Arabidopsis thaliana: one gene and its partners. The protein of the gene in region 3 interacts with the protein of the main gene of each other region in a pairwise test. Each region holds a gene or a part of one and is shown on either strand. Other genes may lie near its edges. The genes, in order: AT3G53630, AT1G07400 and AT1G07740.

What was found.
Region 1: the proteins of AT1G07740 (region 3) and AT3G53630 interact in a two-hybrid assay, tested with the Arabidopsis thaliana proteins (one large-scale study listed by BioGRID).
Region 2: the proteins of AT1G07740 (region 3) and AT1G07400 interact in a two-hybrid assay, tested with the Arabidopsis thaliana proteins (one large-scale study listed by BioGRID).

Annotation. Positions count from the first base shown.
Region 1 is NC_003074.8:19,878,321-19,888,783, forward strand, and holds AT3G53630 (uncharacterized protein), read left to right. Parts: upstream 1-5,540; 5' UTR 5,541-5,665; coding exon 5,666-6,243; intron 6,244-6,769; coding exon 6,770-6,872; 3' UTR 6,873-7,241; coding exon of another isoform or gene 7,242-7,248; 3' UTR 7,249-7,618; downstream 7,619-10,463. Other genes in the region: AT3G53611 (uncharacterized protein), read left to right, coding at 222-374; PPa4 (pyrophosphorylase 4), read left to right, coding at 3,171-3,306, 3,417-3,445, 3,746-3,811, 3,896-4,003, 4,392-4,457, 4,540-4,660, 4,737-4,818, 4,946-4,988; AT3G53640 (Protein kinase superfamily protein), read right to left, coding at 8,687-10,463.
Region 2 is NC_003070.9:2,270,569-2,279,509, reverse strand, and holds AT1G07400 (HSP20-like chaperones superfamily protein), read right to left. Parts: upstream 4,585-8,941; 5' UTR 4,363-4,584; coding exon 3,889-4,362; 3' UTR 3,727-3,888; downstream 1-3,726. Other genes in the region: SMO2-1 (sterol 4-alpha-methyl-oxidase 2-1), read right to left, coding at 1-44, 133-252, 393-538, 786-923, 1,571-1,600; RABA2b (RAB GTPase homolog A2B), read right to left, coding at 2,356-2,835, 3,076-3,240; RLP1 (receptor like protein 1), read right to left, coding at 4,856-7,059, 7,319-7,387, 7,476-7,488, 7,631-7,702, 7,774-7,835, 7,915-7,989, 8,094-8,168, 8,261-8,332 and 3 more. UniProt on the Arabidopsis thaliana protein: Cytosolic mediator for sorting and targeting of nascent chloroplast outer envelope membrane (OEM) proteins to the chloroplast. Functions as an AKR2A cofactor to facilitate the targeting of OEP7 to chloroplasts.
Region 3 is NC_003070.9:2,395,026-2,406,469, forward strand, and holds AT1G07740 (Tetratricopeptide repeat (TPR)-like superfamily protein), read right to left. Parts: upstream 5,484-11,444; 5' UTR 5,472-5,483; coding exon 4,092-5,471; 3' UTR 4,074-4,091; intron 3,672-4,073; coding exon of another isoform or gene 2,502-3,671; 3' UTR 2,417-2,501; downstream 1-2,416. Other genes in the region: EXO70H6 (exocyst subunit exo70 family protein H6), read right to left, coding at 224-2,071; AT1G07730 (Disease resistance-responsive (dirigent-like protein) family protein), read right to left, coding at 2,502-3,671; RAD51D (DNA repair RAD51-like protein), read right to left, coding at 5,772-5,828, 5,923-6,078, 6,163-6,233, 6,331-6,421, 6,519-6,611, 6,712-6,846, 7,056-7,253, 7,354-7,433 and 1 more; AT1G07747 (Bifunctional inhibitor/lipid-transfer protein/seed storage 2S albumin superfamily protein), read left to right, coding at 8,533-8,820; AT1G07750 (RmlC-like cupins superfamily protein), read right to left, coding at 9,275-9,428, 9,517-10,237, 10,643-10,838.

The DNA of each region.
Region 1 (10,463 bases), on a different chromosome or scaffold from region 3:
AAAAACTGGAGACAAAATTTAAATCGAGAATCAATTGTGTAGAACCTAAAAATCGAAAGAAGGAAGTACCAAATCTACTCGGGGAAGATAGATCGTCGGAAGCAAGCAAGACAGTAACCAGACGGCCGTTGAATTTTTTTCTTCCCCCGATTGGCTTTTTTCGGAGATTCAGAAGTTTTTTTTTTTTTTTTGGTTAGAGAGAAGAGGGAGAAGGAGAGGGAATGGATCTGGACCGTTGGATCTTGTTCGTGGAGATCTGTGTTGGTCCGGCGCGTGGTCTTCGGTTACGGTTTGATAAATTTCGAACCATGGGCCTTGGGCTAGTTTTATTTTTGTGTGCTAAATTTATGATTTGGTGTCCACTAAATGTTTAGTTTATTCTTACTGATCCAACCCAACAGGTTACAGAATTGATGAAGTATATTCATACAGTATATGTATTTTTCTATATTTCGTTCTGAGTTGCGTTGCGATTAAGCTCTGGGAAAAAAAAAGTTGTTTCAATCCCTTCACTTGTAAATAAACTCAATTATTTAACTCCAAGGGGACGCAAAGGTTAGGCAAAATAATAATAATAATAATAAGAGTTAGGCAAAAAGAGAGCGATTGACAAATTGAGGAAATTTGAATATATTGTCGTCGGTGTTAAGCAAATAATCATCCAAAGAATAAAGCGTGGATAGGAATCTACAATGATCCTACGTAGCATCTAATGTACTGCATGAGCATTCGTTTACTCAACCCCATCCACCGATCATCCGCTGCGGACAAGTCCACATCTTCACTTCTTCACGACCAATGAGGTAATGCCACGACGAAAGCCTTTCCTAAAATTACACGATCCATTTCCTTTTCTAAATGGATACGAAGAGTGTTTCCATTGACATTAAAGGAAAGCTAACTTTACTTAAAATATCGTCCTTGAGGTAACAAAAAAGTTTAAGCCCCTATACTGTCTTATTTAATGTTTTTTTTTTACTCTTACACTATTTAGTTCTATGTTAATCCAAATTTATCCAATTATTTCCGATATCTAACTATTATCCAAAAAAATTAGGGAATGACACGACACGACGTAAGCCTTTCCTAAATTATACGATCTAGTTTCCTTTTCTAAATGGATACGAAGAGTGATTCCATTGACATTAAAGGAAAAAGTTAAAGCATACATTCTCAGATTTGTTTTGAATGTAGACTGCAATTATTACGTTAATGTGATCGTCTTATTAATGCTTTTAACTCCAATTTACAATGAGATTCATGTTTATCCAATTTTATCCCAATCTCATTAAACTCTTACCATACAAAAAGTCAGAAAGATTATCCAAAACCTTCCGATATGAAAATGGTAATTATTTGAAATGCACGTGTATATTTATCATAAAAATTAATCATAAAACGGTGCTTACGGTGATGGTAATTGGTGACTTGTATCAATCAATGCCAGTAACCGATTATAATACGAGTTCAAATACCAAAAAAAAAAAGAGCTGTAAACAACAAAAATCCATATAATATCTAATACTTTTAAAAGTATAAATCTAATAATTTAAAATAATAATAAGTTAGTAATTTATTTTAAACTCCTAATATCAAAATAGTATAGAAATCCTATACTATCATAGGAATCCTAAAAGTATAAATTATTTTAAATTCTACTAATTTAATAGTTACCAGCTGAAAAAAAAAATAAAAAAAATAAAAAAATAATAGTTACCAAAATTACTATCATAGACAATCCATGCATTTTTGCATGAATCCTAATACTATATAAAATACGATAAACACCCATATTTATCATTTTACACATCTTTTTGTTTGAATTATCCATATACATTATGTATAGAAAGAAAATAAAAACGAATATTCACTTGACAGATTAACATATGCTTTTCTTTTGATTGCAGTTTGTAATCCACCGACAGAGAAATTGCGATGTCATAAATCTGAACACGAATTTTCGGTGCACTCGCCAACACCTGATCTCAACTCTCTCCAGCATATTCCCCAAATTAACAGTAGCTAACGGAGACTTAACGTGGACTCCTCGCAATCCGAGTCACTTTAACGTGTATCAGACAGCCAAACCTTACGTTGACCCCACCGCCGTTAGGAATTCCGTCTATGTCTCTTTTTCCATCATCCAATAAAATCTTGCCACATTGACACTTTCGGGTCCGGACATATTCCAAAATTAAAGAGAATTTAATTTATTGTTTTCCTTCCAGAAAAATATTAATATTCTTTCTAAACTAAAAAATGGAGTCTTCAAATAGCACAGAAGCAGAGACATAGAGCGGGAACGCGTTTAGTCACAGCTTTCTTCTCCTTTAGCTTTTCTCTCTACACTTGCTTCTCTCTCTCTCTCCTTTGGGTTATCCTTCTTGAGATCTGTGCTTGCGTTTCTTCTTCATTCGACGACACTTTATCTCGGGAGATTTCAGATTTGTCGATTTGTTCAGGTACGGATTTCGAAATGTTCTTTCAATCGGATTTGTTCTTCCTCGGAAGGTTTCTAGGGTTTTGGGATTGGGTGTCTTTAATCTGTTTGCATAAGCCATGAACGAGTTTTTTTGTTCCCCCGAGAGATCTTTGTGACTTGTAGATCTGAGTTGGGTTCCAAAATATTCAATCTTTGTGATGTATATCTACATTTTTAGATTATCAAACTCCATTAAAGAGAAAATCTTTGCTCGTTTCTCTTAAGGCCCATTGCTTTTTATCTGAAGATGATTTCAAGAGAGTGCCCTGTTTTTTTGTATAAATAAAATTTTGATCTTTTGCTCGCTTTATACACATGTGGGAACGGTTTTGTCGGTGGAGACATTTATGGATTCGTGAACTGCTGCAAAAATTATGCGTTTCTTGGACGTTTCTGTAACTTTCTCTTTATTAGATTTTGTATCTTGTGTCTCTGTGTCCACCATTGCGTTGTGTGTATTCAATTGATTTCCCCAGGTGTTGAAGATTGTTATTTATATATTTAACTTATTTTATGCACAGAGATCTTTAGTATAATTCATGAAAATATGGTTTTATCTTCCATGATCTAGGGGAACTAAAACATTTGTAAAGTTTGAGCCCATATTTTGTGTTTGTTGCTTTTCAGAGATGCATATATTATGGTTGTTGTTCTGTTTATGAATTGTTATGTGCATTGTTTTGCAGCAATGGCGCCACCGATTGAGGTTTCTACCAAAAGCTACGTTGAGAAACATGTTTCACTTCCTACTCTTAATGAGAGGATACTTTCGTCCATGAGTCACAGATCAGTAGCTGCACACCCATGGCATGATCTCGAGATAGGTAAGCTATACGTAAAGGTTTCTTTTTCTTTTTTTTGGCTCTAAGATCATTTCATTGTTTTTTAGTAATAACTCTTATACCTTTTTTGCTTCGCATTCCTTTGTTTACAGGACCTGAAGCCCCAATTATCTTCAATTGTGTAAGTGTTTTGCTAAAGCTCTAAGGATTGAAAATATTTAATTATATTGTCACAAAACTGCCATTATGCGTATTCGGAGATGCTGCAGTTGTTTACTATTTCTACAGAATTTACATATTTGTAGCATTCACTCAAAGAAAATTAAAACATTCATTGGCTATATATCTTGAAACCTGAATTGAGTCTGCTGTAGCATATGAAATGATGTTCATCGCCTGATTAGGAAACCATTTTATGGGTTTAATCTTTGAGATATTGTTGTGGGAATCATTAACCAAGCATACGGAGGCATTATTACAGGTGGTTGAGATAGGAAAAGGGAGCAAGGTGAAATATGAACTCGACAAAACTACGGGTCTCATTAAGGTATAAATTTGATTGCATTAACTTTCTTCGCTGTCCCTTTCATTATTAGAGGTACGATTGTCTAAACTTTACACATATTCTCAGGTCGACCGTATTCTTTACTCATCTGTCGTATACCCACACAACTATGGGTTCATTCCGCGTACCCTTTGTGAGGACAGTGACCCTATTGATGTTCTTGTCATTATGCAGGTAACATATTTTTTCATACAATTTTGAGAACCTGCATAATTCATTACATAATGTTTCTTGTTCTATTTTGATTTGTGCATCTGATAAGCTTTGAAGAAGTTCAAGCGCTCAACTCTTAGCTATAGACTCTACTTTATAACTGTGTAGCTTAGGAATGAATGTAGCAGATGAGAAATGTTGCCAGTCAGTTATCGAGCAGTTAGTGGCTGCTAGGCTTATAAAGGTGTCTCAGCATATTGTTTAGAGTGTGGATTTTCTAGTGTTTACTCTGGAATTTAAAACCTCTTATTAATCAATCAAGTCTATAAGCATCATCAGCATCTCAGTCTGTCTTATTTGACTGGTAGAAAACACATCTCATGTGAATCTTGTTGAATATTTTCTACAGGAACCGGTGATCCCAGGATGCTTTCTTCGGGCCAAAGCTATTGGTCTGATGCCAATGATTGATCAGGTTAGATATTCAACGTACTTGTCATATTAGTACTTATAAAAGTAACAGAGATTGAAACTAGAAGCTCTTTCTGCTTGAATAGGGTGAGAAAGACGACAAGATCATTGCTGTCTGCGCTGACGATCCAGAGTATCGCCATTACAACGACATCAGTGAGCTTCCGCCTCATCGTATGGCTGAGATCCGCCGTTTCTTTGAAGACTGTGAGTGTTCTTTTCTTACAAACTTTTGGTTGGTTAAGGATGATATGAGGCTCATACTCTTGTAATCTTGTTGCAGATAAGAAAAACGAGAACAAGGAAGTAGCCGTTAACGACTTCCTTCCGGCAACTGCAGCCTACGACGCAGTTCAGCATTCCATGTAAGTAGCCTTCATGAAACTTACTGTTATTTACTTCATATATTATGACCTTGTAAATAGCCGCAATTTGTTTATATCAAAGAATAACTAACTAATCAAATTGGGACAACTCTTTTGTGTCATGTAGGGATCTCTATGCAGACTACGTCGTGGAGAACCTAAGACGTTGAATCACCACCTCAAGCAATGGAATGAAAGCTCACAACTGCATTATTCACAAATATAAATATACATATAAATGTCAGGCTTCTCAAAGGATATATTTGTTGTGTATGTCCTCTGATGAATCCGGTAGATGATGCCGATAATTCTTTTTTTTTTTTGTCGTATGAAACCGATAATCAAAGACTAAAACAGGGATTTTTCTCATTTGTGGTCATCACTTTTTAAATTTTGGTGTCATTTCTCATCTTAATCAATTTGTTTTTGAGTTTTATTCTTCTATTAGATCTTTTATACATCAAAGAATAGATGAAGATTCCTCCCTAAAACCTTATAGTATGTCATTTATTCACAATATGTTATACGTGTTAATTTTCTCTCTTTTAGTATACTCTTTTTTTTTCTTTCAGATTCCATCCCAAGTTGCTTAAATTTTGTTAAAACCAACTAAATTCCATAGTTCAATTTACAAATCTGTGATCAGATGCTATCTAAATGAATATTACCATTTTAGCCCTTACCTTTTCTGAAATTTACCACGTTTACCTCAATGAACCGTCATCGCAAAACCAAAAACCCTTTCCTATCCCTAAAACCCGAGAGAGCATCTTCTTCTCCTCTTAGGGTAGAAGAAGGACGAAAATCGGAGGAGGAAGAAGAAGATCGATTCGATTTGTGATCAACGATGAGCTCCTTCAATGGAAACAGCAACATCGACAACCTCCTAATCCAAACCCTACTTGGACGTCTCCAAATTCGTCCCCCTAACTCTCATTTCCTCTCTCAATCCCTAGACGACCTCCTCTTCAAATCCGACGACAGCGACGGCGATGATGACGGAGAAGGTCAGACCAGTCTCGACAGAGAAGAAGCTAGGCTTGAGAAAGAGCTAATCCGAGTCATCGTCTCTGGTCGAAGCGATTCTCTCAAGCCGAATTCAGGTCAAGCCGTGACAGTCAACGAACACCACATCTGCGTTGGGTTTCATGAGGATGAGGAATCGGATTATCGTGTTTGGGAGTGGCATGGTCATATCATGTTGTTTGATGAAGAGAATGGGTACACGCCTGAGTATATCTACGGGAATTACTTCGAGAGGTTGCCTGTGAAGCTTCCTAATAACCGCCGTGTGGAGAAGGAGAAGAAGAAGGAGATGAAAGAAGAGGAGGTGGAGAATTTGGGGCTTAGAGAGTTGATCGATGGTGGTGACGCTGCTCCTGGTAGGATTCTTCATAGGAACAACATCAACATCGGTTCCTCAAGGTTTGTTTCTTACAACTCCTTTTAAACTTTCTATCATTCTGTGTTGCTTTCGGGATGATTTAGTTGTTCATTGATCTAGGGTTGGCTAATCAAAGTTTTAGGTCATGTATTAGAGTATGTATTCAGTGAGAAATATAACAATGGCTCATATGTTTTGGATGATTTTTGCTGTTAGCGAATTCTGTTTTGAAATTTGATTCGCTCATGGTGAAGCCTTTAGTTTGCTTTTACAGTTTCTTTTTCGTTGCAAGACAATAAGTTGATGAAAAGAGTTTGGAAAATGATAGTTTTTGATCATTGCCAGTAGTGAATTCAGCACTTGCTGTTTCCTGAATGAAGTTACAGGTTAGGCCAATGTGTGGTTGTGGATTGTGGTCATTGCATTTCTGTCTCGAAATAACACATGGTCGTTAAATACGATCGATTAATTCTCCTCAATTCATATTAGATAGTTGTTTCCCATATATGTATGATAAAACTGCATGTTCTTACAATGCTTTTTGTTAACTTTTTTACCTTGCTCTAGGCCTTCAATGCTGTTTTGGACACTCGATTTAGTTCACAATGTGACTAGTGAGACTTCGTCGATCTCCAAATCAATTGCTTTCATATACAGTTCACTATATTAGTCAGGGATTTTCATGCCAAGAATATTCATTTTTACGGTGTCCACAAATATTGATATAGAATGTTGTTTAAATGTTCATATGATGACCACATCTAGATCTTCCGATATCCATTTACATTACTTAATGAGAGTTCTAAGACGATGAATTTTAAGCTTGTGGTGTGATAATCTACTCAATAGTATTAGTAATGCTTGATCTTACTCTTGCCTTTTCATATTCTGTTCGGATATCCATCCTCTTCCAAGTATCTATTAGATTATTCTCTTGTTTCACTTTAGATTCCAACTTTAACTTGATTATCTTGCGGTTACATACTCAAAATGTTTAGAATCGATCACTGAACTTACGTGGTTCATCGTGAACTGGCAGGGTCTAAGTTCCTAAGAGCGTCTTGGTAGGGAGAGGTCACATTGTTCGGGAAGATTTCAGATGTGTGAACAACTCGCGACAACAAAACATAAGGTGCTGGTGGGTCTACGGGTTCTATTCCGTTTTATTTAAACCGGGAAATCCATGGGTGAATCTGTTTTCTTTAAGAAATTCATCTGAAGTTGTTTCTGAACCAAATTTACAATACATGTTAATGAAGAGAGAAAAGATTACAATGCATGGTCATCGAACTCGGAAGCTTTCAAGTTTCCCCATGTTTGTTTATTTTGTGTTCTTAAATCAGAATCATATGTTTTGCTCATTTTACAATTCTGCTTTCGATAACGAAATTTAATTGAATCGTTTTCAAATCTCGAGTACTTCCAATGAAGATTTCACCTTTTTTTTTTATTGGTGAATAGTATGTATTATATCGGATTTAAAATCACGTTGTGTAATATAATGAGGAAAGTCGTACAAACTACCAAACTAAATGTACGGTAAGAACTGGGAAGCACATGTGTTGCACACGTACCCAATACCCATGGTAGAATGTTGTTATTCATTATTGTTTTAAAATAATATTTAAGATAATAATTTTTTGGAATTTTTAGTTATATTAAGACTTTGTAAAAATTAAATCTTTAATTATTACAAATAAATTGATTTGATATTTGTAACGTAGATATTATTAATCTTATTAAGTTTGATTTTACATATTTAAACGTAAAAATGAAGAAAAAGGTATTTTTCCAAATTTACTCTATTTATAATCTATGTATTAAATTTATATGCTTAATTATAACTTTTTAATAATATAATGCTTAATGTTATAAATATATGTGTGTGAACACTTCTAATACGTACCACTTTCTAAAATTCTTTAAAAATCGTTTTGATATGCAAAAGTTCTACAAAAATTCGCTTAAATAACAATTTCCTCTTCTTTAACTCTTACTCTTCATTTGTTGCCGTGAGTTTTCACCATTCAGAATCATAGTCATTCACGAAATATTCTCATATATATTTTTTTTTGTTAAAAAGAAATGTCAAGTGTAGAAATAAAATGAAAAAAGAAATAAGATATTAGAGAAATACAAAGATTGAAAAGCGATGTCTTCAGAAAATAGATGTTGAAAGCAAAACAATGTTTGCAGACATAAAGTATATTCGGTTGTGCAATGAAACAATGATGTAGACAAAAAAAAACAGTCCTATCAAGCATTGATTTTCTTAACCACTAAATTCAAAAAAGTATGCAATTTTGATCCACACACCCTTAGCTTAAATTAAATCGTCACATTTTTTTTCAACTGTCGAAACTGAATCATGATTCTAAGAACAACATCGTCATTATAACACTCTTTAGAATCTTAATCAAAAAATTAATTGTGTAATATATAGAATGTACATGTATCCAAGCAAGGGCAACAACATTATGAGGTTCACTTGCCCGTGATGAATGGGTGAGCTAATGCCTGTGACACTGTAAGTCTCTTTTGAGGATCAAGTGTGAAAATTTTGTCCAAAAGATTCCTGAAATGAACCAACACCTTGGGATCTTCATCCTCATAACGTCGTCTAATTACTGAACCTAAATCTTTTGGCTTTACGTTGACCATTATTCTCCTTATTGTCTTTCCAGTAACACTATCCTCCTCTGTAGCATAGAAGCATAAGTCCTTATCAAAGTGTTGATCGATAAATGCTCCTTTGCGAAGCATCTTTTTAGGGAAGGGACCTTTCAGTTCCATATGCAGGCGTAACATATCATTGTTTGTGGAGCCAGGGAACATAATTTTCCCGCTATAAAGCTCATACAGACAACAACCAACTGACCAAATATCTAACGGATGGTCGTAGGGTAGTCCAAGAATGATTTCTGGAGCTCTGTAGAAACGACTAACAAGATATGGTGTAACTTGGTTTTCACCAGCAAACATTGCACTACCAAAATCACAAAGCTTTAACATGTTTCTTCCCTCATTCATTAGTATGTTATCAGGCTTTATATCGCAGTGAAGAACCCCACAGTTCTTGAGATGTTTAAGGGATATGAATAACTGCTCAGCATACACTCTAACATCATATAGTTTTAGACCAATGTTGACACCAATCTTCTTCACAACTTCACGGAGATTCAGATGAAGAGACTCAAACACCAAGCAAAGGTGGTTCCTATATTCAAAAGTTGAAAGAAGACGGACGCAGTGGTGCTTATTCTCTGGGTCAGAGCAAACTAGCTTCTTCAATATCCGAATCTCAGCCTGGCCAGCCTTATGCATTGTCTCATTTTTCCGAATAATTTTTATAGCCACTTCCTCAGGTTCACCTAGCTCAGGTTTTGTGTCTTTTGCACGCACCACGGTAGAGAATACACCTTTCCCATGAGTAGCCATGATTTCATATCTATCATCAAGTAGTTCACCAAGCTGATAACTGTAATAACCTTCTGCATCATCCCAATTATCATTGAGTCCACTCCTTACAAAAGGAACAAGTGCATTCCCTTTCCGAGTACCATCAGCTAGAGGAGACTCCCCAAAGATATCATCACTGAACATGTCACTCTTTGGGCTGCCTGCGGAAGCTAGTGTCATATCTGAGTCTGATATCACAAGCCGTGCAGGTGTTTCCCCAACTGCTGAAGATAGCTTGGCGACTTCACCATCTACGGCCTCAGTATCCAACCCAGCTTTAGCTTGAACATCTGCCACAGTAGAGGACTGCTCCAACTTTTTCTTATATTTCTCCAATATGGCTTGCGTAATCCTCTTGCTTTCCTCGATTCTTTTCATCTCTGCAGCTTCTTGTTCTTCAACTCCCCAAACAACATCTTCACCGTCATCATCATTATCAACTTCAGACCTTTCAACGTTGCCCTGAGTTTCACCGTTAGGTTTATGGCTTTTTAAAGAATCTAAGTCATCTTCTGCATCATGCCTAACTTCCCCATATCCATCACCACCACTTTTATAGATCTCCTGATCACTCTGGTCTTCTCTTCTTCCTCTATCCCTATCTTGATCCTTACGTCTCTCTCTTTCATTCTCCCTCCCAGTCTCTCTACTACTAGACCTAGCTTTATCTCTACTACTCCTACCTCTGTAGTTGTCTCTATTGCTTTCTCTATCAATGCTTCCCTTCTTCTTCAAATTCTCCCCTTCCTCCAAATCAAGTTCACCATCGTTACCAGGATTCCCCAAAAATGGATAAACATTC
Region 2 (8,941 bases), 120 kb from region 3:
CGGGGTGAGCATATTCTGATGTCAAACCAAATGGTGTGGCATATCTGTGATATCATGAAATGGTTGCTTTTCAGAAACTCACAGTTTCAAGTATCAAGACTGAAAAAAAAAATGGTGAACATTGAAACTTACTCATGATGCACACTATGCACGTTCTTGTACAGCCATTTTGAATGCAAGATCCGATGACCCCAATAGAAGACAAAATCCTCAATGATAAAGTAGAATAATATCTGGGCAGACACTTCTTTCCTGCAGGACCATCACCAAAGAGGGTCTTATATACCTGATCAAACATGAGCTCAGGTTCTTTCATGATGCTCAACACTGACATCTTTTGATTATGTTTTTCTTTCTTTTTATTGCCAAATGGACGAGTTTAAGATCAATACCAGGACGGCAGAGGAAAACTGCTTCGCATTCCCATGGCTCGGAAGACAGGGTAGGAGGCCAACATCAGGGGCAAGTTTACGGAGAAATGATAAAGCAACAGGCGAGTAATACATTTTCCTTGGGCTGCAGGTGTGTTATTTTTTGTCTGCATAGGGACAAAAGAAAAGTATGTGTTGACCATAAAGGGTAAGAGAAGCATAGAAAAGGGTCATATTCACAATTATTAGTAATCGCTGAAATGGACATCAGCCTGTCATAAGAAAACACTTTTCACGTGAGACTGAATTCTTGGGGATCAACCTCTAGACTATCATATTCAAACCATCACACAAAGCTATGATTGCATACATAGAAGACACTTGTAAAAGATAAATAATAAGAAGAGAATAAACCTGAATTTTGTACTTGCTGAGAAAGCCTTGCCTTTCAAGAAAAATGAAAGGGAGTCCAGATAAGAAAAACACGCTTTCATGGAGGAGAAAACTCCCAATACATGCCAGTTGAAAGTCGCTAAAATGTGTCACAAGGTACTGCATCAACCACATAAAATGATCAGCTCCAGATACAAAATTTCCGTGCTGAATGAGAACTCATGATAGACAATACGCACAAAACACCAAGGAAAGGAAACAAATACTATCATTAAGTAAAAACTAGTTTCAGTGATCCAAGTTAAGGACACAAGACACCCAAAATGCACACTAAGTATAAGAAACAGACTCGAAAACAATACATAACAGTAATCAGAACGGCGTTTTATCGATTTTGGTAACCGATCATTGGAAAGTCCGTAAGCTAAACCGATTGAACAGAGAGCACAAAAAAGGGGCTCGATTATATGATTCATGCGTGTCTAGGCCCCGTATCAATATCTACACCCATTTAAGCTCCAGCAAACAGACGGAAACTGGAAATACGGTCAAAATTCCAACGTAACTAGTAGCATAGTCAAATTCAGATCTAAAACAGTACTGCAATGACACGAAACCAAATTGAATCCGATGGATCCAGACCGGTGGATTACTAAAAAAAAAAAAAACGCATGTATCACAATACAGTGAACTTAAGTCATCGAGACGGAGGAAATCGCCGGAAAACGAGGGAATCGGAAGCAGGATTAGATAGATGAGATTATGATGAAGAAAGAGAGAGAGAGAGAGAGAGAGAGAGAGAGTACCTGCCAACCAGATTCCACGAAGGAAGCCATGGATGGATCTATGAGAGACAGATGGGAAGAGATGTAGAAGAAGAAGAAGAAAGAGGTGGGAGAGGAGCCACGAGTGAAACAAACAACAGACTGTCACCAAAATGAAAATAGATATCTGGCAACTGAGATATTTTTTTATTTTTCTCACCAACTCTTTTTATTTTTATTTTTTTAAGACCACTCTCTCTATCAGAGTCAGGGCCTTTTCGGTGGAGTAAATGAATGCTATTGCTAACACATCCCCACGTGCACATCACCCTCTTCCACCTCCCTAGTGACCCTATTTTAGTATATTTCGCTTTGATTTTTGAAACCAGAAACAAGATTTGAAATTATGAAAAAAGTTAAAAGGATTACAACCCATTAAAGCCAAGAAGAGGTTGACCAACAATTTATAGACCACTTTGGCTGCTACTATTACAATGATCAAAGAGCATATAAACTGGCCAAACCAAAAACTAATCCTAAGGAAATCATTCACACTTATGTCTTCAAGAGATTTTAAATCAAGATACTAAAAAAATCTTTCTTTTTTCAGAAAATGGTGTGAATGATCACAGTTCAATACAACTAAGCAAAATCTTGTAACATAAATCCAATACGATATGGAAAAACAAAGACCCGGAAAGAAAAAGGTATACTATACTTGCTGAAATTAAACCAAAAAAGAAGAAACGAACTGGTAAGAGATCAGAAGAGAAAACTCAAAACGTGTGATTGATTGATTAGTAATCACTATAGTTGGATTGTTGTAATTAGGTAGAACAGCATCCTTTTCTGTTAGTTGCAGATGAATCTGATATATTGATCGCTGTTCCTTGGCCCGGAAGATTACCTGCAGCTTCTTGTGCCGCTAAAGCTTTCTTGCTTATGATATGATAAATCTCAGACAAAATGGTCTGAAACGCTTTCTCGATGTTAGTCGCTTCTAAAGCAGATGTCTCGAGAAACGACAAACCTTCCTTCTCGGCGAGAGAGCGACCATCTTCATCAGCAACAGATCTCAAGTGATTCAGGTCTGATTTGTTTCCAGCCATCATGATAACAATGTTGGAATCAGCATGATCCCTTAGCTCACGTAACCATCTCAAGACATTCTCAAAAGTTTGTCTCTTGGTTATGTCGTAGACAAGAAGAGCTCCAACAGCTCCTCTGTAGTAAGCACTTGTGATTGCTCGATAACGCTCTTGACCTGCAGTGTCCCAAATCTGAGCCTTCACTGTTTTGCCTTCAACCTAGTCAAGATTACACATACAAGCATGAACAAAGACGAGCCATTTCATTTGCTACAATTACATTAAAATAAACCCCTAACGAGAATTCATTTTCATAACATAAGATCTTCAGATCTAACAATCACATGCCTGTTCAAATATCAGAGGATGCAAATGCGACGACACAATCTAAGATTAAACACCAAATTGATCTGGAGGGAAATTGTCTAGATTTAGAGAAAGCGAGAGAAGAGAGATGACCTGTAAAGTCCGGGTGGCGAATTCGACGCCAATGGTGGATTTGGATTCGAGACAGAACTCGTTTCTGGTGAATCGAGAGAGAATGTTGGATTTACCAACACCGGAATCGCCGATCAGGACGATCTTGAACAAGTAATCGTACTCATGATCTATTCTATTCGCCATTGCTTCTCAAATCCTAGCGTCTGATCAACCTACGCATATACACATTCACGTCAACATCGATCGAAGAAACTACAACTAATCATCGTCAATGAGATCAAAAAGCAGCAAATCGAAACCCTAGAAAATCGAATTTTACCTTTTGAGCAAGCCGGAAGGATCGAGAATGGAACAAATGTTTTTTTTATATATTTTGTTTCTGTATTTCTCTGTTTCCTTTCCTTATACGTTGCGGGTTTTGTGCCCAAGAGGTGAAAACGGAAACTCCCTTTTATTTAGTTTCGAATTTTGAGATTCTTTTTTTTTTGTTTACCACGGAAGAAATAATTTCATTAAATTTCAACTTTTTGTTATAAGACTTTGTTACAAATCAGTCATACCAAAACTAAGATCAGATTATGCAAATTGCATATCTAAATTAAAAATTCAACCTTTAAACTTAAGTTTAGTTGGTCCCATCCGAGTTAAAATCGAATTTACGGCTAAAATCTTCAGAAAAAGCAATTGAAACGAGAATATAAAGGCCTTGCTTAATTATTAGGATTAACAGTTATAATACATCATTACCAAAACACAGAGCCATATTCAAATCAAGAGCCATAATCAGAAGAGTCTTTACGCATAAACATGAAACCCATAAGCTAATTGGCTTTAGCCAGAGATATCAATAGACTTAACTTGAGCCTTCTTCTTAGCCTCTTCCACTTTAGGCACCGTCACAGTCAGAACTCCGTTCTCCATGGAAGCCTTGACTTGATCCATCTTCACATTCTCCGGCAGCTTAAACTTCCTCGAGAATTGCCCGCTCGACCTCTCCACACGATGCCACGTGTCCTGCTTCTCCTCTTTCTCCACGTGTCTCTCTCCACTGATCTTGAGCACACTGTCGTCCTCTATCTCCACTTTAACCTCCTCTTTCTTCATCCCCGGCAGATCGGCCTTGAACACGTGCGCCTCCGCCGTCTCTTTCCAGTCCACACGTGCGTTCGTTATCGCCGATGTTTCTCCGGAGAGCGACGACGGGAATTGCAGTTCCTTGAATGGATCCCAAACGTCGAGTGAGAACGGGTCGAAGATGCTGTTGCTTCGCCTGTTGTTGCCGAAGAAGCTTGGAATAAGCGACATTCTCGATTTGATTTCGAAAGCGAAAGAGATGTTTGGAATGCTGAGATAGCTAATTACGATTTTCCGGCGAGTTCGATTTCTACTTCTGAGCAAAGCTGGTGACTCGGATGATGTATTTATAGTGGTGAACAAGAAATCTCCAGAGCTTCTAGAATTTACGGGTCCCAAACTTCTTTAAACTTCACACGAAAACGATGAAAAGATTGGAAAACAGAATCCAGAAAACTCTAGAGTCTACTAGTAGATGCCTTTCAATTTCAAGTACAGTACGACTCTATTCAGCCGTTATGCGTTTTATGGGCTATAATGGGCTCCTGAGGCCCAAATATTATGAGATAATGTTTAGAAATTGAAACTGGTATCATGTATATATTTGACATCGAAGACATATATTTTGTATACAAAAGCTTTTTCTCATCTAACTTGGATCAACTAAGAAAGCATTTTAAGACTGTGTTATTCCAGTGGTGTATACCTTGGCTAATCCACAGAATCAGTTGCAGACTGAGGAACGCTTGAACTGTAGAATATGATGAACGCATAGATCTACACGATAAAACCATTCTCGGGACCATCGTGAGTCTATGTAGAGGAAAGCAAACAATGCCAAGGATGTAGATATGTAGACTGCAGCACAAGTCCAGTAAAACCACACCATGTCTATCACATTACCTTCTTCTTCATTTTCTTCCTCTTTGGCATGCGTTGACACACTTGGTGGCTCAGGGACTCTCTGGGAGATGCAATTTTTATTTGTAGGAAGTCCACAGAGATGAGCGTTGCCTATGTAACTCCTCTCGTCAAAGGTAACAAGATGGCCTTTGAAAGGGATTTCACCTGATAAATTGTTATATGAGATATTCAAGTATCCTAAACTGTTGAGATCGGCTAGCGCAGGAGGGATACTTCCATCTAGCTTATTGTTGGATAGATCAAGACTCTCTAAGCCCTTCAGCTTTGAAATGCTATCTGGTATGGAGCCTGTGAGGCGGTTACTTGACAAATTCAGGGACCTGATATTCTGAAGATCTCCAATCTCGATTGGAATTTCACCCGATAGTTCGTTGCTCGACAAATCCAGACCATGCATATAGCGGAGAATATCACCTTGATACGCCTCATATCTGCTTTTCGTTAAAAAATCCACTACGGTTGCTGGTTTTGGTTGATAACCATTCCTGACACCATCATCCAAGTTAAGATGTGATCCATATTGACAATGTGGCAAGAATGTAATGTATGAGAAGTCAAAATCTGCAACAAGTGACATGGTACGGTCATTCTGCTCTGCACCAAAAGACATTTTACTGAAACATGATGGTATGGGGCCTCTGAATTGATTGTGAGACAAGTCTAACAGACCAACTTCACTTAGCTGACATATTTTCCCAGGGATATAAGTTTGAAAGCTGTTATTCCGTAGAAGAAGAATACGTAACTTAGATGTCTGGTCAATAGTGTTCAGTATCTTTCCAGAAAAATTGTTGTTCCGCAAATCAAGCACTTCTAATCCCGCAGCCTTGAATAAATTTCCCGGAACTAAACCCGTAAACTCATTGTTTTGTAGTCTTAGTTCTCTGAGAGATGGAAAATTCACATTCCTTGGTATCGAACCAGAGAAGCTATTGTGTGAGATGTCCATAACCTCAACCCAAGGACTCTGTCGTAGAAAAGGGAAAGGACCTTTTAGCTGATTACCACTCATGTATAGGTAGGAAAGCCTTGATATCCTACCAATCCAAAGTGGAAGCATGCCCGAAAACCTATTATCTGATATGTCTAAAAGAGTAAGATTCTTTGACTTCAATAAACCCTCTTCAAGACTCCCAGTAAAATTGTTGCCATCAAGAAAAAGCCCAACTAAACCAGTAAGATTTGCATGCTTCGAAAATATTTTCCCCTGTAATTGATTGTTGGAGAGCTTCAGAACCCTTAGCGAGTAGCAACCACTTAAAAACATAATAGGTAGCTGCCCATATAGACCATTAGAAGACATGTCCAAGACTTGTAGGCTTTTCATCTCCCCAATCGAAGATGGTATAGTTCCTTGAAAATGATTTGAAGAAAAGTTCATAAACCTCAGGTTTGGAAACACCATCCCTATGTCCTCTTGAATCGAATCATATATCATATTACTCGAGATATCGAGAACTTGCAAGCCATGAACAAGAATAGGTAGTTGAAGCTTTGTCAATGAGTTCCCACTTAGTAAAATAGTCTGCAGCCTTGTGTTATTCTTCACAAGCCAAGTCGGGAATGTTCCTGTCAACTTGTTATGAGAGAGATCAACGAAGCACAAGTCACGCTGATGCACGAGAAAGCCGAGCATTGTGCTGCCAAGACTGCAATTCGATAAATATAACATCTTCAATTGAAACAATGGAGCCCATGAACTCTCAGTCTGAACTTGGATCACACCAACTTTTGATGACAATTTGAATACTGTGAGTCTTGTTTGATTGACCAGTGAGTTGAACAAGAACGAACCGTCGAAGTTATTATCAAGCAGCGACAAGTACTCAAGCACTGATGGTAGACCAGACACAAAGGAAGACAGGTTTCCATTCAATTGGTTGTTCGATAGATCAAGAGTTCGAAGATGCGTTAAGTTACCCAAACAATAAGGTAGACTTGTTAAAGCATTGCTGCTCAAATCCAGCTCCCTGAGTTTCATTAGTCTGCAAATCCCTAAATAGCCTGAAATTAATCAAATAAGAGTGTAAGAAATCAGAATAATCATCAACTTCATCTTTAAAAGAGAGTAATAACAAGATATTCACCAACTCCATCATCATATGAACTAATTAGACTTCATAGCCATGTAACTCATTAAGTTCTTCTGTTCTCACAATCTATCTATGTATAAATTCAGTTAGGAGGGTGACCAAAGTGTGACTCTTCTGTTTAGACCAAAAAATGCATAAGATAAGAAAGATAAAATTATTGTAATATTCACCTTCGTGGGTCAAAGACAATTGATTTCTTTTGAAATCCAATACTTGTAAAGATGTAGGAATCTCTAAACCTGCAGTTGAAAGAACATAAGGATACATAAATAGATAAAGATTTGCATGCTCCACTTCTAATAAGCATGTAAGTGACTGTTAAGCAACCCAGGAAACCGTTCTATATTCACCAACCCAAATGTAACACACCAATGAGACATTGATTCAACGAAATTATTCTCAATTATTGACCACAAAAACCTACACCAAACCAAACAATATCCAGAATTATTTTATCATAATCTGATTCTAGTCTCTTTAACCCCTCCCACAGTAACTGACTTGTGGTGTGTTATGCTCATCTGGAAACTTAGACGCAATCCTATCCAGAGGGTCTACAATAGCTATAGAAGATACCCAGGAAAACTAGGCTTCATAGTTGCTTGCTGAACTTTTAATTTCTGACCTCGACTTTCTGAACAACTTCTCTAAAATCAAATCTCTTCTCACTTCTACTCTCATCAACGTCTATGAAAAAAAGTTAAAGTAGATAGATTAAACCAGTTAGGATAGAGCAAGCAAGTTTTACTTTCTATATATGTCTTACCTCGGCCATGATCTAAATTTGTGAACCCATTGTCACTGAGATCCAGTTCTTGCAACATTTTAAGATCTTTCAGTACTGCCAGGCAAAATAAACATTCTTAGGAGAAAAACCCAGAATACATTTGATTGCCTTCTTTAAGCCATAAGTCACTTCTGCAAGAACAGTTTTATAACACTTACCATGAGTAGATAGCGTGTGGTTGAATTTATTTCCTCGTAATTTCAAGACTTGTAACTCTTGGAGGCTTTCTAAACCTGAAGATCCGGGAAAACACAAGTTATAATTGGAAAGTTGACAGAAATGGATAAAGATCATGTATGTAAATCCCCTGGTACTCTCTGTCTACCTTTAAGTTGAGAAAAATCTGACAACGGATTGAAATTAAGATCTAGTGTTTTCAGTTTCGCCGTACTTAAACCTGCACCACCAAGAAACACATTCATAAGTGATGTTATAAGTCAGCAGAGGTAAGCACTTCCATAAAACAAAGCAAAAAAAGGCAGCCACTCACTATGACTAGCCTCAGAGTCATTGACACCATTGAAACTGAGATCCAGTACTTCCAAATCTCTGAAATCTGTTAAACCTGCATCTCAATGTCACACTTAGTCAGTCATCTGACATCAATTCTTTAGTTCTCTCTTTTCTTTTGGAACAACAAAACTATATAAAGGTTTGTTGACATATTTTACCTTGAGAAGATAAGAAGCTGAAACTGTTGTCCTTCAAGTTTAACACTCTCAAGTTTGTCATGTTTGAAAGTTCTGCCACACCAGAACAAGAAGCCGTCAAAATCCATCTCCAATTGAATTATATACAAAAATGTCAAAAAGAGAACCAAACATATAGAAGAAATACATAACCTTGAGGAGGAAAGACACCTTCCATGTAATTAGACTCAAGATGTAGACTCCTAATCGATGTCGCAGCATTTAAAAACGGGACGATACTGTTGTCGAACATATTATGGGAGAAATCTAAGGTAGTGAGCTTATCTAGTGTCCCAAAGCTCTTAAAACCTGAAAAC
Region 3 (11,444 bases):
CGTGAGTGTGAACAACACACGTACAAGAAGATCAGATCAATAGAGAACAAAAGCAAGCACAAGTACACACTGATTCTGAATATGGCAAATGAAATGTAGACTTTTATATCTATGGTCTATAATTTGAAGCCCAAAATTGATATATGGGCTTTTAGCCTAGGACCGGCCTATGATTCGTTGATTTCACAGAGTTACACGTATGAGGGCTTTTTACATGGAGCTATTACTTCAAATCCGTCGTATGGCTTGGGCTAACCATATACTTCTTAGTTTTGGATACGGGCACGGATCTTCCTAAACCAACATATAGGTCGGTTATGTAATTATTTAGATCTTCAGGGGTAAATCTGACAATATTGCATGACCCGACCGGGTGTTTCTTATAGAAACCCGTATACCCGGGCATTAGTTTTCTCGCTATGGACGCTTGGATCTCGTCTCTCAGGTTCGGGTCGGGTACGACCCATGTCTTGTGCTTCTTGTAAGCCTCTTCGAACGCCTCGTTGAACCGTCTCAGAGACTCCTCCGCCTCCGTCCCCGCCGTTGAATCACCGGGGAGCGACGCTATCACATCCCCCCAGGCCATTTTTTCGTATTTCTCGAGGTATTGATTCACTTTAACCTCGTGATTCGCTACCCAATCGTCTCCGAGTACGAGTCTGAGATTCGATGTACGGACCTTGGTCACAACGTAATGGAGGTTGTTCGCTAGGAAGAGATACGATAGAGCCGAGTCGTTGTAGAGCCGAGATTTGGCGTCGATTTTACAGAGCAAGACGAGAATCAACCACGCGAGTCTCGCCGCCATCGGAGAACGATCACCGGATCCTGGATTCTCTTCGCCGCTGCTACTGAAGTAATCCTCCGGTAAAGGTAACGATGACTCCTTGAGAATGGTGGCGAGAGAATCGCTGTAGTCTGCGAGGAAGACGATGAAGTTCATCACATACCTCGTGAGCTGATGAACTCCGCCGCCAGAAATCGCCGATTTCGACGATTCCTTCGTAATCGACGATTGAAACTCCGTCATCATTGCATTCACCGATTCCGATAGCTTCTCTAGAGATTCATTCGCCTGTAATCTAACGGCAGCGGTTGAATCGTAGCTAAAAATCTGATCGATTTTGGGAGTCAGTTGCAAGATCGTCTGGTAAACGTCAAGCGTAGGGAAGATCTTCTCTGCAGTTTTTCTGGATTTCGCTACGGTTAGTGAGAAGATGAAGAGGTTTAACGCGCTCTGTAGCGTTATGTCAACGAAGCAAGATTCAGCGACGGAGGAGGAGAAAATGTGATCGGAAAGGATTCGTTCTCCGTTGAACAGAGTGGTGATTGCTACTCTCGCAACAATCACCCATATTTTGATCTTCTTCTCCAGAATCTCCCATTCCAGTTTCTGCATCTGTGTAGAGGTTAGCTTCTCGAACCCTAGATGAGACAATGTGTCGACGATGATCTTTTTGCGAAACTTCTTGTAGATTTTAACACAATCCTTCTCGTAACCAGAGGAGATCATGCAATTTGCTATCATCTTCAAATCAACAATAGCATCAGAATTCCCTCCTCCTCCTATGTCTTTACCTAATTCCGATGAGGATTCAGAGTAAAGCTCTCCATCTGATGAAGAATCCGAAGCGGTTCCACTTGATCTCGAAGGTATGTTGGATTCAGAAGACCAACCAGAGACGGATTCTGGACTCAGAAAGCGGCGATTCGATTTCAAAACCCGGTAAAACTCCTTCTCCAAATGCTTCATAGCTTTCCGCATCAAATCCTGTCCTTTAGCAAGCTTAGCGGAGTCCGGATTCATAGCAACGGTGCTCTGAATGGCGTATTGTAACTTGCCGAGAACCTCGAGGAAGCGTCTGCCTTCTAGGCGGTTTTGAGCGGAGAAGAGGGAAGAGAGGCTGCATGAAGAAGAAGAAGAGTCGCAGAGGTGTGGAGTAACCCATTGGCATATGAAGGCGTCAGCTGCCTCCACACTATCGCCGATTAGAGACTCGGAGAAGCCCTGTTGCTGTTGCGGCCCGACCTTAGAGGATTTTGATAAGGTGGTGGGTTTCAAGAGCACCATTGTTTCTTGGGTTTGAAGAAATGGGTCTTAAGGTGTTGGGGTATTTATTTACCATCTTCGGTTTCTTGTTTCGGCGACTGTTTTTTTTTGTTGGAGCCGTTCCAAGTTCGTCAAAATGTACACGCTGGTCATCCGTTTATGTCTCTCATTTTGTTTTCTAAGTCTTTGATTTTGGGACAACAAATTGTTTGTGTTAAATTTAGACTGAAATTTACAGGTTGTATGGATAAAACACATGCATGTATACATCATTGTCTTTCTTAATTTAGAGGTATAGTTTGTTAAATGATCAGTCACAGTGGTAACTAACTTTTTTCTCTGTTTTTGTTCTTAAGAGTAAAAGTTGGAATAACAAGGGATTGGTTGTCAAATTAATAGGTTTTCACGTTTTCTTGGTAGACAAAAAAGATAAGAGAAGAGGGAAAAGAAACTAGTAAGAAAGATAAACGGTGCACTCCAGAACAGTCTCGAGCCCATCTGTGAACTGGTGCGGCTGCTGCTGCTGGGTCCCGGAGGAACCCGTAAAAGTCTTGACAATTGCGAAGCCTCTCGCATTCACATACTTACCAGTACCGCCCATTACCCCAAGATGAGATTCCGATGCAGCTGTTCTATGCACACCGAAGAAACTGATGCTATCTTCATATCCACCGCTCTCAAACATAGCCGTGAAAGCCATAGTCTGGCTGGTCCCATCAAGGGCACTTGCCACGTAGAAGCCTTGGGCTTTACCCAGCAGACCAGACCCGAGTTCGTGTCCTTCGGTTAGTTCGTTGTCCATCACCGTCAATGTCCCAAACATGAGCATCTGAAGAGACGAACCCGATGGGAGCTGGCCGCCGTTAGCCACGGGAAGACCGTTCAACATGTTGTTTCCATTGTTCTGTAGAATGTTGGAAGTGGTTCCGCCAAGCCCGACGAGAAGTGGGACGTTGTTATTGTTCAGGATTCCATTGTTGTTATTGTCTGATGGAACGCCGTTACTAACAGGGAGGTTTGCACCATTGGGCTTAGCGAATGGAATTTGGCCACTGAGGGCTGCGTTTGCGACGACTCCAGTCACAGCCCTCGCTGTCGGGTTTGAGCCACCGAGTATATCGTGCATGAAGAAAACCAAAGTGTTGTCAGGAACTGAACCACCAATCACTGACCCTGCACCTGCGCCCAGACCCGTAGCTGCAGCACCTGAACCAACAGTAGGCAAAGGCCCTGAACCTGAACCAGGCAAGTTACCCGAACTAGCACCCGGTAAGAGACCAGAACTGGTTGGTAGAGGACCGGGGCCAGTAACAGGCAAGGTACCCGAACTAGCAACTGGTAAAAGACTAGAACCAGTGGTCGATAGAGGCCCGGGGCCAGTATTGGTACCCAAGGAACCTAAACCCCCTGAGGCTGAACCTGTACCTGAAGCGATACCAGTTGCAGGGCCTGAATTAGCAGTGGGAAAGGGGCCTAAACCAACTGTTGGTAAAGGACCAGGACTCGTGGTAGGCAAAGGGACCAACCCAATATCTTCTTCTTCATCAAGAAGCCGAGCAGCTGAGACAAAAGTAATGGCGAGAGCTAAAATCAGGAAGAAGAGTACTTTGCAGCCTGCCATTGACAAGTAGAAAGATCAGAGACTAAGATTGTTAATTTGAATTGGAGTTGAATTGTTTCTAATTCTCGTGTGTTTATATACGTTGATTCTAGAGGAGCATTTATATATAAAATGAGCTATATTGGTGATATAAGAAGATGTAGTTGATGAAACAGAGTAGGTGACATACTGACAACTTTTCCATTATATGGGTGGTTCGGTTTAGAGAAGAAACATAGAGAAAAGAAAGAAGAAAAAAAAAGCCAGAACACTTCAGCTATAACTTCACCACAAGATCTTGAATGTATCAATTTAGAAGTTCCATTGTGTGAAACTGTGAATTAACCAAAGATTAAGAAGAAAATAAATTCGTCCACCCTGTTAATTTTAACAGACATGAATAAACAAGGATGAGAATCTTACCTTTAAAAAGGTCATTGCTTAGATGGAAATTACTTCTGACAAAGCCTCACAATATACTCCTCCATCCTTGATGCAGAGATCAGAAAGTAGATTTTGCCAAGCACCAGACCCAAAACTTAAGTTTTTCTTTCCCATCACCTCTAACACAAAGCAAGCATGGTCCAAGTTACCGCCTTTAATCAGCCCAGCAACCATACATACAAACGTTGCAGGTGTGGGACAGTGTCTGCTTGCAAGCATTGCATTCAAAACATTCAACCCTGAATCAAAATCCTCGATACGACAAAACCCATCAATCATCATACGGTATGTAGCTGCATTTGGTTTACACCCTTTCATCTGCATTTCCGTCAGCACTCTATAAGCCTCAGGGACTCTACACTCAGTGCAAAGATGGTTTACCAGAATGTTATAGATCACAACATCTGGTTTTATCCGTCTTTTCTTCATCTCGCCGAGTAGAAGCTTTGCCTCATCAATTCTCCCTCTCTTCCCAAGATCACTCATCAAAATTCCGTAGTTAACGAGACCCGGTTTACACCCACGATACTCCATATCGAACATCAACTTCTTTGCTTCATTGTACTCTCCCTTACAACATAAACCTTTCATTAACAACCCAAATGTCACAGCATTCGGACGTATTCTTTTCTTAATCATATCTTCAAGCAAGCTCTTCGCCTTACCCATATCGTCATTTCGGCATAAGAAACCAATCAGGCTATTGTATGTCACAACACTCGGTTGCACCTCCATCTCAAGCATTTCGTCGAACACCTTACATGCAGCTTCCCAATCGCATTTATCAAGAAATCCTTTGATCAAAATATTGAAAGACACCGAATTGGGACGCAAACGCATATCCTTTGCCCCGTCGAAAAAGCTTTTGGCCTTTTCCAACTCGCCGTTATCGACCAGAACGTTGATGAGAGTGTTGAGAGACTGAATCGTGCGAACACAATCAAAGGAGGTGATTTTGTGGAAAACATCGATGGCTTTGTCGACCGAACCGGCTTTCCCGTAATGCTGAATCAATCCCATGAAGAGGGATTCTCTGCACCGGACGTTTCGATAGCGAACAAGGCGGAGAATTTGGTCGACGGCGTCGAAGTTACGGGACTTTGCAAGCTTGTAGATGAGAGAAGAGTAAGATGGGTAGTCGTGTCGGAAACCCATTTCCTGGTATTGGTGGAAGAGAGAAAGAGCTTCCTCTGGGTCTTCGATTTCTTTGAGATCGGTGAGAAATGGCACTTCCTCCCATGGCTTCCTGGTGAATTTGTGAGTTGGTTCATGGCTGCTGGCTTTCTTTGTGGGTTTCTCAGGTCGAGATGTGTGGTAATGGCGTTGGGACGCGATGCACTGATTGTTGATTAGCACGGAAGATAGTCTTCTACGCATCGGATTCTCTTCGTCTTCTTCCTTTGCTCTGTTTCAGCTTAAATATGCAAACTCGGAATAAACTAGAAAGCTTTATTTTTATTTTATTTTTTGGTGTGCGCGCAAAGTTTTAAAATGTGATTCTATATTCATGTGATCCTTATATACACACCACTCATTTGTTCAACAAATTTTAATTTTCATTGCTGCAGTATAATTCTACATGTAAAACCGAAACAAGAAATCCATCTGATCATTCATTTATGTGGTTCTCTTCTTGCACATCCAAACGATGGGCGTGGAATATATAGCCAAGGAGGCTTATGGACATTGTTGATTCTCCTTGCGAGTCAAGGTCTTCGCAGCTTGGCCTGAAGGCTACAAAGAAAATAATCACACACAGAAACTGTAAAACCAAAGGAAATGACGTTGGACTAAGAGATACAGAAATTTTGTTTGGTTAGCAACGTACCAAGGATGTGTGTTTTAAGATGGAGATGGTGCAGTTGCTGTTCTTATGGTCACGTGATAGCGAAAGTCTCACGTGTGGGATGCTTTTCCATGTTTCCCCAAGAGCTGGTTTGGTTTTACCACCTTCTCCTCCAGCACCCACCGTGTGATTTGTCACCTTCAATACACAAGGAGACACAAAAAAAAGGTTTTGACTTTAAAGCACAAGGACACGCTTAATGGCCTGAAACTTCTTTAATACCAGTATAGCGATGCTATGTTCATGAGCCAGCTTCTTAAGCAAATATCCAATTGCCACCATCAAAGCGCGTCCTGCACACACCAATTTCTGAGTCATTCTTCATAATCACCCGCACAACTGTTAACCATTGAGGTGAAGAAAAAGTGATAGACATACAAGGGTATGTACCCTGTGAGCCACTGCCTCCAAGGATTGGAGTAATCAGAGAAGAGATTGAATCAACAACTAACAATCGTAGTCGGGACTCATTCACATTCATCTGCAAGTGAAAAGAAATAGATAACTCATGGTTAACACTAAGAATATAGACATTAAAGTGACATTGAGGAGATTGCATCTTTTAGCTAGCTTAATACCTGCAACCTCAAAGTAATCTCTAGATCTTGCAGCGTATCAAACAGTGTATATATGTCATAGACCGTGTGGCATAATATTCTGCTCATGACTTTCTGCACTTATACGTTTCTTGTCCATAAGATTAAAAACATAAATAATTGGTGATTGACTAAAGAACTGGGTCATAGGCTAGGGTACAAGAAATAAATAAACCTGCCCTAAAGTAGCATCTGAACTGGAGCAGATAAATTGAGCAATGCGTCGGGCAGAAAAAGAGTTCCCTGTGTCTAAATACAAGACTCTGCCAAGATGATTCTCTGCTACACTTGCAGCAGCTTGCATGCAAAACTAGTCATTCATAAGAAATCACACAATGTAAAGAGAGAGCACAAAAAAAGGGTAAGCAAAGACAACACTTTTTTTCTAGGAACAGTCTCTTTGTTTGAATGAAACAATCTACAATTCCTAAAGATTTAAAACGATTATCTATGAATAATTTTCACACAGAAGACAAGACAAAAACATGAATAGTGAAATGCCTAACAGAAAATACATACTTGTGTTTTCCCAGAAGAGGAAGGTCCGACAAGTTCTGTAAGCTGACCCTCACGGAATCCACCTTGAAGCAATGAGTCCGTCTCTTTGTCTCCAGTCGACAGAGTATGTTTATTACGGTGTAGATCCTCCAACAGTTTTAAACCATTCACCAATGGCCGACACTGACGTTCTATCAAAGAGAGGATGAGAGTGATACCCTGAAGCATCCGAAGGAAAACATATGTCACATACCTTTGAGCGCACACACACAATTAAACCTCAAAAATCGACAGTAACGTTAAGTAAAAAGCTAAAAACCTCTTTCAATCTATCTGCATTTGTCTGCCGTTGAGAAAATGCAGTAAGTTCGTAGAGATCATGCAGAAGGAAATCCTCAACTGCAATTTTGAGAAAAGCCATCAACACAAACATTCCAAACCGAATCCGACTCTATAACTACAAAAATCTAATTCGTCGAACACCTTTAGCTTAAACGATCAAATATCAAACAGCGCACTATCCAGATTCCAGAATTCAAAACTTTTTAAAGTGAACTTACAGTAATTGGACTAAGCAATTGTGTTTCTCATGTTCATATGCCAACCACAGTCGTTTTTTTGCAGGCAAACAGGAGAAATCAAATAGAATCGATACGAGAAAACGAGATACAAGAAGAGAAGATGTAGAACACAACTTGTTAAAATTCCATGAGAGGCGCAGAAATCTTGGAAACATGCGTCGATGATTGGATTTTCCTTCTCCAGATGTTTGAGAGGCGCCATTGTTGTTACACCTCCACTGCCCTCAAATTGGAATGTGGAGAAGGAAGAACAAATCCAATTAGCCTCCGGTTCGTTTTCACGACCCAGACTCTTAATCCCGGTTTACCCCAATCTGAAAACCGCAAATAGGGCCAGCCTTGTTTTAGCCCGAAAATCTCTCATTCAATTTTATCAGGCCCAGAGCTTATATTTTTCAACGGATCCGGACCGGCCCTAAACTTTTAGCCCATTTTAACATCCTTGGTCACCTCAATTTTAAACCGATACTCAGTTAACCTAAACCAAATAAATTTATAAATTTCCAGATCTCTTATTTTTTTTTTCCTATTTAATTACTTTCCAAAGAAATTTTATTTATATTAAATCTTTGAAGATTTTCATTGATTGAAATCATTTGTTAATATCAAACTTCTATATGTATTTTCGAACATTTCCAAACTGTATATACACATGTGAACTGATTGATTCATTTCCTATAATTAAATCTTTCCAGTTTCTATAAAAGGCAGTGCTTTCAAATTTGTTAGCTTAATTCCAGTAATCAACAATTAAAGACAGTCGACACTATATATATACCTAAAACACACACATCAGCCTATACTGCAAAACATTACTCCATTCTTAAACAAATCTCGTAATCGATTATTTCAAGCATTTTCTAAGCAAGACTAGAAATTAGATAGAAGGAGAAACTTAAGGTTACAACTTACAAGACATGAAGATGAAGTTCACTACATTAGTTTTCGTTGCGTTTGTTCTCTCGTCAATGGCTCCGACCAAAGCAGAGGAGAAAGCGGCATGCGTCGTGACAGATCTCAAAGCATGCCTACCAGATATAATAGGCGAAACCCCACCATCGACAAAATGTTGCACAAAATTGAAAGATAAAAAGTCGTGTTTTTGTGAGTACTTGAAAAACCCATTGATTGCTCCATATATGACATCTGCTAAACAAGTTTTAGAAGCGTGTGGTGTACCTGTTCCTGTTTGTCAAAGGTTTTAATAGTAGTTATCAAACCATTCTTACTTTTCATGTCATCAAAATCACATGTTGTAATGTTTTATCAGTCATCGTTACATGAACTTACTTTTCAATATAGTGTTCGTTTGATTGGAATTTTTGTTTACAGTAATTGGAATTTCTTTTTGAACCATCAAAATTCTGAAGTTTAATATGAAAGTGAGAATTTGAAGGAAGACAAATTTCTTTTGATTCAATTTTTCCAAAAGTTGAAAAGAAGGAAGACTGTAAAATATAGGAAAGGTTGATTTTTTAATATTTTAAAACAACGAGAACAAGAACCGGTCCAGGGGGAAAAGGCAGGAAGAGAATTAAACAACTAGACTAAGAAACTTCCTTGAATCACAAGAAAAGTAAAAACCCTCAAAAATCTCTGAGGGAAAGCAACAAACGATAAAAGATAAAAGCTGGTTCTTGTTCTCATTCTTCTCCTTCTTCAGTTGGAAGGAGGGAAGAAAATGGCTGATGAAGTCCTCGTGGATCGGAAGGACTTCTCCACCTCCGGAGCCACCTTAAACGCTGCCTGCAAAACCTCAGGGGACAAAGACTTCCACACCGATGTATTCCCGGCCAAATGTGTGAAGATCGGACTACAAACACACAAGAAAAAAGTTTCAAACATATTAGTTTCTTTCAATTTCAAACCTCAAAAAGGAAAGTGCAGAGAAAAGTTCTTACTCAGGAGTGGTGACAATGGAGAACCAAGACATGCCATCAGCATCAGCAATCTTAGAAACCACAAAGAACCTTGGAACAATGAAGAGAGAACCAGCTTTGATATGGGTCTCAAGAACTCTTTTCCCATCACCACCAACCACCTGGACTCTTCCACTTCCACCCACAATGTAAGTCACCTGAAGAGCAGAGTCACAAGAGAAACCAGGCGAACACATGGAGTGTGCATCGATCCGAACAAGATCAGCTCCAAAGCCAACCTCTCCAACCAAAGGAAGGTTCTTGGTGTTCAAGACAACGACCCTGCCTCCATCCTTGATGTCTACATCAAGAGGAGCCTCCAAACAGTTCAAGACAAACCCAGCACGGTTCTCCTCCTTGGGCTGTGGCATCTTAAAGCCCGCATCAAGCTTCACAATGCCATTACCGGTTTGAGAACCAACAAGTTTCTTCACGGTGTTCTCATCAAGGTCCCAGGCTCTGCCAACAAACTCAGTGGAGAAACCAGTGAAGATACCGTTTGTGCCAGTAAGATAGAACTCAGTGAACTGCCCTGCTTTGTGACCCTTGTGGGTTTCACCAAGGAAGAGGATAACAAGCTCAGGATCCTCGTTGTTGAACCACCATGTGACCACACCAAAGGGAAGAGCAATCGAATCACCTTGCTTGATTGCGATCACCTTCTCCTCCTTCTCTGGGAGAACAATTCCAGCAGTTCCAGATCCTGAAACAGAAATTTGAAAAAGAGTCAAATAAACAAGCTTTCAATTCCTTACACGCGAGGTTGATCAGATCAACGATTAAGACGTGATTAAGCAAAACAAAAACAGCTAAAGACTACTTTTTTTTCTTGCACACAGTAGTCGTGATCTATTTGACTATCATATTTTTCACTTTCTACAACAAAAATCAGATCATAGAATCAGCATCACAATAAACCTAATCACAGTGGTCAAAGTGCATGAATTACCATAAAGTTGACAACTTTTAAAGCAATAAAGAAGATCAGAACATAGAAAAGATCAAAAACCCTCAAAAGAAGAAGCAGAGTGATGAAATCGAACAAACCCATTATACAAAAACGCATGGATCGCAATAAAGTAGAAAACTTTTATAGAAAAAAACGAACCTTGAAGAACATAAGCGACCTTAGAGGAATCAGAGTAACGAGGGACAGCGAAGCCATTCTTCTCAAGAGCAAGCTTAGCGGCTCCAATGTTACCCTGTTTGAGCATCGGCAACTCCTCTGGGCACCAGGCAGAGTAAGATCCACCATCTCCTCCGTAAACCTTCTTGGGCAACTTAGGTGTAAGATCCAACTCCATTTTTTCTCGACGATGAAAAAGAGTAAAGAAGAAAAGATTTGGTAAAGGAAGAAGAAGAAGAAGTAGTAAGTTTTGATGTGAAATGTGAAAGAGATGCGACACGTATTTATATAGGAGAGGCTTAGGGTGAATCCGTTACTAATAGAGAGACTGATTCGGCGTTTTGATTGCGTTACGATTTACTTGTGGATAATTCTTGTTTAACGTTTTTAATCCAAATTTTATCCATTTCTTTATGCCCACGATATAATTTATATTTTGCCTACCAAATAAAGATTCCTTTGTGAGGAGATAATTTTTGTTAATCCATCACGTTCTTCGTTTTTTTTTCATAAACAAATACTAATTGAGACATTTAAATAAATCTACTAAAAGTGCTGTATTATTTGGTCAAATCGAATCATCAGAATATTTGTTGTAAATATTTTCTCAATTATGTCACCATATTTCTTTCCAATTTGGTGATTTTAAGATTATGTTTTCCTTTTTTTGTTACCTTAAAGATAAAATTAAAGGATGAATTCAAAAATCGTATGTTTTTTTTATCTAAGGTAATCGCTGATTTTATATTTCTTTTGCTAATTTTTTAAGGATGGGATCTGCTGA